2 linked regions of the Drosophila melanogaster genome follow. The protein of the gene in region 2 interacts with the protein of the main gene of each other region in a pairwise test. Each region holds a gene or a part of one and is shown on either strand. Other genes may lie near its edges.

Region 1 (3,596 bases), 2.2 Mb from region 2:
AGGCCGGCTAGCCGGAACCAGATTCCGACCTCTCACACTAGACGGATGTTTTTTATTTTCTAGTTGCGTTCTTTTAGTTTGTTTTATTTAGTTTGTCTTGTTTAGTATGTCGTCCCCTGATGATGGCGCTTTAATTTTTTGTTGCGTAAAAAGCGAAGCGACGCTGCCTGAGGATTCAGCGCACCGCTCTCTCGATTTCTAGTACAATTTTAGAATATCTGCACATGCGCCTTAATGATATAAGGTTATACACATAATTATATATTTCTAACACATTAACGTAGAATATTTAAAATCTAAATTTTATGTATGTAAGCTCAAAATTTGTAAATTCCCTTTAAAGTACGATGTAAGTGTGAGGAACAACAAAATTGTACGAATAGCATGTTATCCAAACTGTTGCCGAATTGAAAAGCCTTGTACGACTTGTATGTATATATATTCAGCAACGGAAGTAGGATGCCTGGATCAGGAAGTAGCTGCTTTTATCAAATGTAATCTCTGATACTTTGTCCTAATTTATTAATGCATATAGTAAGTGCGAGTTCAAGTTTTATGTTTCCTTGTTTAATCTTAGACTTAAATACATGGCCAAAAATATTGCGAATTCCAAAAAAAAAAAAAACCGGAAGTTTTATATACTTGCCTCGCTAATCACTTTCAGTTCGACGGTTAGCGATTGCTGCCAAACATCTAAATCCATTAGTGGCCGGAGGTCATTCAAGCTGATGAGGATCACGTTGCTGTCGGTCTTGATGAACTCACTGCAGGATTGGTTCGACGACAGTGGCAGCATTGGACGAGCTTTTATCTGTCTGGTGTAGTAACGTGGCAGGTTGGCAGGTTGGACCAGCAGGCGCAGAGTGATGGCCACGCCGTGCAAAGGAGTAGCCACCCAGATGGCCAGGACTTCGTGTTTGACACGCTTCCTTTCCCACAGCACCGAGTGCATGGTGCGGCAGGCGAAGATCATAAGGGCGCTATGCTGCGAGAAGCGGCGGTACTCCACTGGCAGATGGGTGTTTCGGTGACATTTCAGAGGATTAAGGCCAGTGCGCCGATAGCCATAGACCCCCAGCAGGGTGTTGACATCTCTTTCCAGGCTACTAATATGACATGTTAGTGACACTCGCTTGCCCATTTCCAGTTCATAAAACGGAACTCCCATTCCCGGCAGATGGTCACTCAAATAGTGACCCAACAGAGCGCTGGGGTCAACCGAGCATAGGCATCCGTGACATGGGCATGCCACCAGGCGCAGTCGGCTCCACGGCGAATCGCTAGATGTGGTCGCAGTGCTCTTCCTGCTGCTGGACGGCTGCTCGGTCAGCGATTCGAAGTTCTGCAGTTTGAGGAGCAGCTGATCCTCGGGAGCTGGCGCGGCCACCGATGCCGGCAGTCTGTAGTTGGAAAAGTGTTTCGTGTACAGCAAATCTTGCATTTCCTGCAGGCGCTGCTTTCGCCTCTCCTGACGCTTTCGATTCCGGCTCAATCCATGGATGGGAGATTGATCTTTGCCGGAATCGGCGGCCTGGTTGGTACGCGAGGTAAATGGCGCAGTCATTGTGGTAGGTAATCAGGCTTGCCAAAACGACATAATTTTGATAAGAAACTAGACAGATAGACAGATACTAGCAACTTTTGAAAGTCTACTGTGTTGACAAGTAGATCCTTTTGATTTTATAATAGTTAAATATTTATTATTCAGTTGGGCCGAAATCCCGGCGGTACTGCAATACCGGGCCAACCCGCGACAGAGGTGGAGCAAGCCCCTAGCACTCCGTCTGATTCCAAAAATCAGTTTAACATTTGTTGTCCTCCAATGGAGGAACTATCAGATGTTAAGCTGATAAGAACAGATACTACACTTTGATCTTAGCCATAAGGCCGAGAAGCGATAACTTGAAACGGAAAACGAAAAGGGTCTCCATGAGCAAACGGCCAGAAGCAGTTGGGAATTGTAGCACACACAAGAATGAATTCGGGGTAGGTCAGGGATGATAGAACGTAGAGTACGGTAAAAGTGGGTCAGGTAAATAAAATCAAACGATTTACTAAAAATGCTTTTTAGAATTCGATGATAATATAAGATTAATTCAAGTAAGCTACACATTTTTCATTTAAAGGCATCACTTAAAACTTTATTATTACATTCCTTTCACTTAAAGTGCGTGGGTTAAAACACTTAGAACTGTGTAAATAAATATTTTTATATATTAGTAACGTTTTAAAATACATAATTTACTACCAGAAATAAGGCGAGGTATATTTCTTCTTGACTGGATCTCCTTTGTCCATCTATCTCCTGGAGGTCTTAGAGAGGTAGGGCTGGATATGAATTGAAATCCTGGCAAAGACTAAAATTTCAATGGCATGGGGTTTACGGTGGATTCGCAGCTGTGTATGGTGGGAAATGCCATATTATAAAACATTAATATATTATATTGAGATATCAACACCAGTAATGGGTTCTTTAGTACTGATATTCTTTATTCTAACACTGCCGTACTTCTCCTTTAGGTACTTTTGCACATTGGTATTGTACTTGCTTCGGGGATTAACTTCTGCTTTTTTCGCTGATGGACCGAAAGTTTCATTAATATTTTTTAAGGCAGTAGGTTGAGTGGAAGGCAAAAGGTCCGGTTGGAGTTCATCGATTTGTCCCTTCTTTCTTGAGCAGCCTGTTGATTGCAAGGAACTCTGCCGGGAATCCTTATCGAGCTCATCTAAGTAGGAGAAAAACAAGAATAAGTTAAAATTTGAGCACTAATTTTATTTGGCATTTTATTGCCTTTCTGTTTGAGCTCTTCCTTTTCCCGGTCACCAGCTATATTTGAATAGAGCTCCCGATTCCGCGATGAAATGGATTCCGCCTGATTGTCTAGATTTTCAGTATATGTGTTGCTGTTTAATCTCACGTCTTTATAATTTCTCGTGTGCATATACTCGCTGCCATTCGAATTGGATGTTTTAAATAAAGTGTAATTTTTATTTGATGGTTCATTGATAGCACTTAATGGATCCAGCACTATTTTACTTTCCCTTATAACTCCAGAACTTAGGGCGCTGATGGCGGTGGCTTCTTCACTGCCAGGTGACTGAACGGGCAAACTAGTGGGTTGCAAATAAGTGTGCTGGCCGGGATGGAACTGCTTGAATCTCTTAAATATTAGGCATGTTACCAACGAAAATAGAATCGACATGCTGAGAAAACCCATGGCTATAAGGCAGACTATTGCAAAGAAGTTGCTGTCGATGAGGGAAATCCTTTCCATATCCTTTTGCACCACCACACTTATGTGAACCGAATCCTTGCCACCGGGATTTTCCGCCAGACAGGTATAGACGCCCTCATCGCTCTTACGGGCATTAACTATCGTTAGACGTGACACAAAAACATCATGTCCGAATTTTCGAATCTTTGATTCATCCTCACGCAACAGTTCTATGTAGATGCGCTGCTTTTGCAGACTTTTCACCGGCTTGGAGCGGGATTCGTATACTTGATTGGTGTAATCCCAGGCAATAACCGTATTGGGAGATCCGTGGACGCGACATATAAGCGTTACGTTCTCCTTGGAAGTGTTGATGGAAGT
Region 2 (4,937 bases):
GGGTATCTGGCCCCATCGGTTGATAACCCTGATGCCAGCACCCCGAGCACTAGCTGGTGGCTTTATAATCCACTTAGTATTTCGCTGGGCATATTTCGGCCAGTGCCGGCGCAGCGCTCCCAGATCATTGGGAATAATGTATGTGCGTGGCATGAACCCGAATTCCTTGTTGCTGTGCTTACCCATCTGCCTTTGCAGATTCTTCCAGCACGAATCCTTTCGGCCGATGCGAAATGAACCGGGCAAGTGATTAATTTTCTGATACGAACGAATGGCCTTAAAACACGGTGACTTTAAATGCTTTCCCCATACGCCCATCCAGTCGTTGGTTTCTACTTGCGAAAATACATATTAATTGATATCTGATTATTATGTAGAAACTCACTCTTTAGCATTCGCATTCCGCTGTTGGCCAGAATCAGACGAACTACCTTTGGCATTATGTTTGTAATGCGCCACTTCAAAACGCGATGAAGATCCGGCGGCACGCGTGGACCTCTTTTTGTGTTCGACGAAAAAGACAAATAAGGGGGCACGTAGGGAAACAAACTGGGAACCAGAAGGGAATCCGGATTTTTCAGATCATCCTCAGACGACTGCGAAGACAAGAAGCTGGGCGTGCTTTGGGGCGATGAAAATCGATCCACAGAGTGGGTAAGCTTGAAGGCATGGGCACGATAACCGTCCTCAGTGTCTGACAAAACACTCGCCGTGTCGCTTTCGTCGAAATTTGATACTATTATTTGGTTAAACAATGAAGTACAAATTAGTTAATTATCAATTAATTAAAAAAAATAGATCTAAGGTTAACAATTCTTACAATTGTCGAGATCATCATCTTCGTCGAAGTCGTCATTACGATCGAAGTCAATGGCACTACGGTGATCTTCCTGTTTGTGTTCCGGCTCCAGCAATAAGACCGTCTGTCTTTCATCACCTGCACCCAGTACCTTGGAGCTCTGCTGCTTTACACTTAGCCGCTGGGTGCTGAACTGCTGCTTGCGGCCGAGCCGTGGACTCTGAGTGCTGTACAGCAGGACTCGGTGAACCGTGGGCATTGGCTTTTTGGTAGACACGGTCCCACCTTTGGCCCTCTTTGGCGTCATGGGCAACCGTGGCATGGGCTGATCCGTCGACTTACGCATAATCTTTAATTCATTATTGTTGTTATTAATAAGCGTGTCTCCGGAGCCATCCAGGACCGTATTTTCGGTCATTCTGCAGTAGCGCCGATGTACTCCGACCTGCTCCAGCCCATTGTCAATTACAACAACGGGGTCATAGCTATCTTTAATGTCCCTGTAGTCATCTTCGCTTCCAGGGTCTCCTCCCCAGCCATTGTCTAGGTAATCGGCTTTTAAATCATTGCTTGGGAGCTTTTCCTTTAGCACGTGCTTCTCATACTTTTGACCCTGCCAGGTCCTGTCCTCGGAATTGTCCCTTCGTCCAATGATAACTGTGCCATCGACTTCTCGCGAATCCCTGCGACTGGCGCCGGCCTTTTGAAATTTACTCATTGGCACTTTGCGGCTATTGGCAGCGGCAAACGTTGGCTTGGACAGTTTCTCCGCTCCACGGTTGTAGAAGTACGAAAAATAGTGCTGATAGTGCTGGTTTGTCGTCTGATACTGGACCGGGCGTTCCGAGCTGAAAAACGAGAATGGAAGGCGGTTATTTACAACATGGGGAACAAAGGAAACTGTTTATTGTTTACACATCTATGTATGTTCAATGAGTGTCTGTGGATATATTGTTAATGTACTCGCAACTAGAGTGTTGTGTGGTATCTATCTGTAGTTTTCCAAATTGTAACTTTAAGACTCGAACACAACAACAACAAAATACGTGTGTGTGTGCGTGTACTGGAGGTATGTAGTTTCAACAAGCAGGACAATTAACAAAAAGGCATTTGCATAAATTACAGTATGTTATCCCAGGTCGGCTCTGGTGAGGGGGAATTGAGTGGCCGATATCGGTCCGGACTATTGTCCACATAATCGTTGGACACACGTCCCCCTCGGTCTTTCCGTTTCTTTAGCTCCGCATCAAAGTATACGATGGATGGCTGCAACAACATCTGCTGCTGTTGCTCCTTGTCTACGGCATATGACCTTGCCTGCTTGTACTGCCTATTGGAATGCTGATCCTCCGATCGCTGTACCGTCTGATAGACGTACTCGCAGCTCTTGTTGCCAGCTATCCGCTGGTTGACCAACGATTGCTGGCCAAATGCATCGGTAAACAGTGATGAGTCCGGCGCCGAATTGGCCGCCGATTGGTGGTAGCTTGATCTGGCCGATTGCTTGGTGGGAATTCTCTTTGTCGGCAGATTATGGTTCTGGTTGGGCACTGAATTTTGATTCTGGTTCTGGCGATTGCCCCACGCTGGAGCGATCAGGTTGCAGTTATCGTAGCTATAGTAGCAAAACGTATTGTCCGCATTGCAGTAACGTGACGCCGGGGCTCCATTGTTGTTCAGACTGTTGCTAGCTGGGATATGATAGCCGCTGTTGTTACGCATGTCAGATCCTGGTCACCCAGTCATATATCTGTTGAGGGGTACGTACTAAGCTCGATGTGATCTCTGACTCCGCTAACCCAAAAAAAGGCCTACAAACAGGTTTTAAATGCTGTGAATGATTTCTGATCGGATTTGGACGTAAGTTTACGGATGCGGATTAATCATATCTGGTGGATAGATAGAGAGAAGCCAGAATGCATAGTATGCCACTCTGGCGGTGAATATACAATATAGATTAACCCCGCCATCACCCTGGGCTACCAAGCGTAGCTGCCACTCCGTAAACCAGGTCATATGTACAAAAACTTACTTGCCTCGCGATTTGTGACCTTTACTTTGTTGCTGCAGCTGGAAGGATTAACGGGCACGGAGCAGGATTGCGGTGGCGGTGGTGGTGTCGTTACTCTACCCAAGCGCAGGACTCCCAAAATCTAGGTCACTGGCACTTGTCGTCAGCTAGCTCGGTGTGATTACATTGCCAGCACGAAAAATGCGCCAGGTGTAAATGTATGTAAAATGGAGGCAAAAACTGAAATGCAAATCGAACACACATCCTTTATAATCATAATGATTGCGGAGGCACAATATACCTACAATATAACTAATAGCAAATGCACAATTTTGTCTAATAAATATATTGGATTATTTGGTAGCTTCCAGTTAAGCGTGAAATTCTTAAACGTTCACTAAAACTTTTCACAGCCTATGACAACAAAAAACTAAACTACTGTTTTATTGAAGAACAGAATATCCATGTGCACAGTTTGGAGATGGCAGCGTGAGCACCTCAAACTGCCACCTCGCGATAGATACCGATTGCGCACGCACCAGCTGTTCGGCCGATAGGGGACTTCCCGAAGAAACCGTTTTAATCGCTCACTTTACCCGTTTAGCCTGGTTTTGAATCGGAAAAACACGTAAGGAAAATCGACATCATAGGTTTGTTTTTAATAATTTTAATACTGAAAGTTACAAATTGTATTCGTAATGGGTTCTGTTTGCAAGAACTCTTATTTATTAGCAAGCAAAATGGGTTTTAATGAATTGTCTTCGATTGTTGTCATCTCCGGATTTTGGTGACCTTCCTATGGAATTGAAGAAAGTGGAATTAAAGGGTGAAATGTTCTGTTCCGTATCTAAAAAGATAAATGAAAACCAATAAACAATGAGCACTTTAGGATCTATAGCATTAGTTAGCTTACCAATGCTTGGATCGACCCACTCCATGGCCATGTTGTGGAGTATGGCCAACGCCGTAATCGTTTGCTTTGCAGATCCATGGGAACCCTGGATTTCGGTGGCAAGGATACCGAAGCGACTCATCAGCAGATTGAGACACTTTCTAGCCGATGCGTAGGTGACCGCGTGGGCGTGGTTATACAGCTCCTCGGATTGGTTCCTCGGGAATCGAACCGGTGTGAACAGGGAGGAGGAGCAGCGCACCATTTCGTTGCCCAGCAAAATACGACCCCGGAACTCGTTCTGTTCGAATCGATCCTTTATTTTGGACAGACCGAACATCTCGGTGTCGGTGAGCATGGACTGCTCATCGATCAGTCGGATATCAAGGTCCCTTATCTTATGAGCCGCATCGCAAACAATCTGAATGTGAAGTTCCTCCTCCCGGCTGGTAAGGGCGGGCAAAAGCTCCTCTCCATCCAGATCAGGGGCACAGTTTTCCGGTTGAAACCTCACAGTTGTCTGTAGTAAAGCACCAATGACTTGCGGCATATTGGCAATTGCTTGAAACGCCGAACCAGATCGCTCCTTTTCCGATAGAGTAGCCGGCATTCGGATATACCTGGAAGCTTTCGATGATAGGACAGATGCCACGCGCCTAGTTATTTTTGCCAAAGTGCGTAAACTAACGCCATGGGCCATTGCAGTTAATTTGGGGTGCTTAAATAAGAAAAAAATTTAGTAACAAATCTTAGTTTTCATTTTTGGCGGGCAATTTTGAAAGCCAGTTCACACGGTTTTGATGTACATACAAATTCGCGAGTCTGGCATACAGAAATGTTTACTGTACCTCTGTGCCGCCCCACAAGCGAATAGCGGATAGAATCTGCAAATCTATTGGAACTTGCTCCCTCTTTAACGGCTCAAAATATTCAATTTCCAAGTCATCCCGTACAATTTCAATAATTCTGCGAAGGTTTTCCTTAGTGTATCGGTACTTTAGTCGAAATTTATGCTCATTTAGATCGGTCAATGGATTAAATCTTGGGTTCCTTTTCTTTATATGCGTTGCCCGCGCTCGAGAATTGTGTTTGATATTCAGAAAACATTGAAAGTCTTTGAAATAATCAAAGTCTTTTAGAGACCTTTGAAATCTTTGTATATCTTCCATTTTCACTTGTTTACTTGCATAGCAGGGTGGCTGTTTTGTATATATTAGAAAATACCTCATACGTAC

Evidence for each region.
Region 1: the proteins of TTLL4A (region 2) and CG15482 interact in a two-hybrid assay, tested with the Drosophila melanogaster proteins (one large-scale study listed by BioGRID).

Annotation. Positions count from the first base shown.
Region 1 is NT_033779.5:13,210,218-13,213,813, forward strand, and holds CG15482 (uncharacterized protein), read right to left. Parts: upstream 1,598-3,596; 5' UTR 1,565-1,597; coding exon 635-1,564; 3' UTR 556-634; downstream 1-555. Other genes in the region: Pect (phosphoethanolamine cytidylyltransferase), read left to right, coding at 1-11; kek4 (kekkon 4), read right to left, coding at 2,440-2,726, 2,792-3,596.
Region 2 is NT_033779.5:10,987,769-10,992,705, reverse strand, and holds the start of TTLL4A (tubulin tyrosine ligase-like 4A), read right to left. Parts: upstream 3,306-4,937; 5' UTR 3,116-3,305; intron 3,051-3,115; 5' UTR 2,832-3,050; intron 2,733-2,831; 5' UTR 2,522-2,732; coding exon 1,923-2,521; intron 1,648-1,922; coding exon 821-1,647; intron 737-820; coding exon 386-736; intron 333-385; coding exon 1-332. Other genes in the region: CG12253 (uncharacterized protein), read right to left, coding at 3,539-3,657, 3,724-4,420, 4,551-4,871.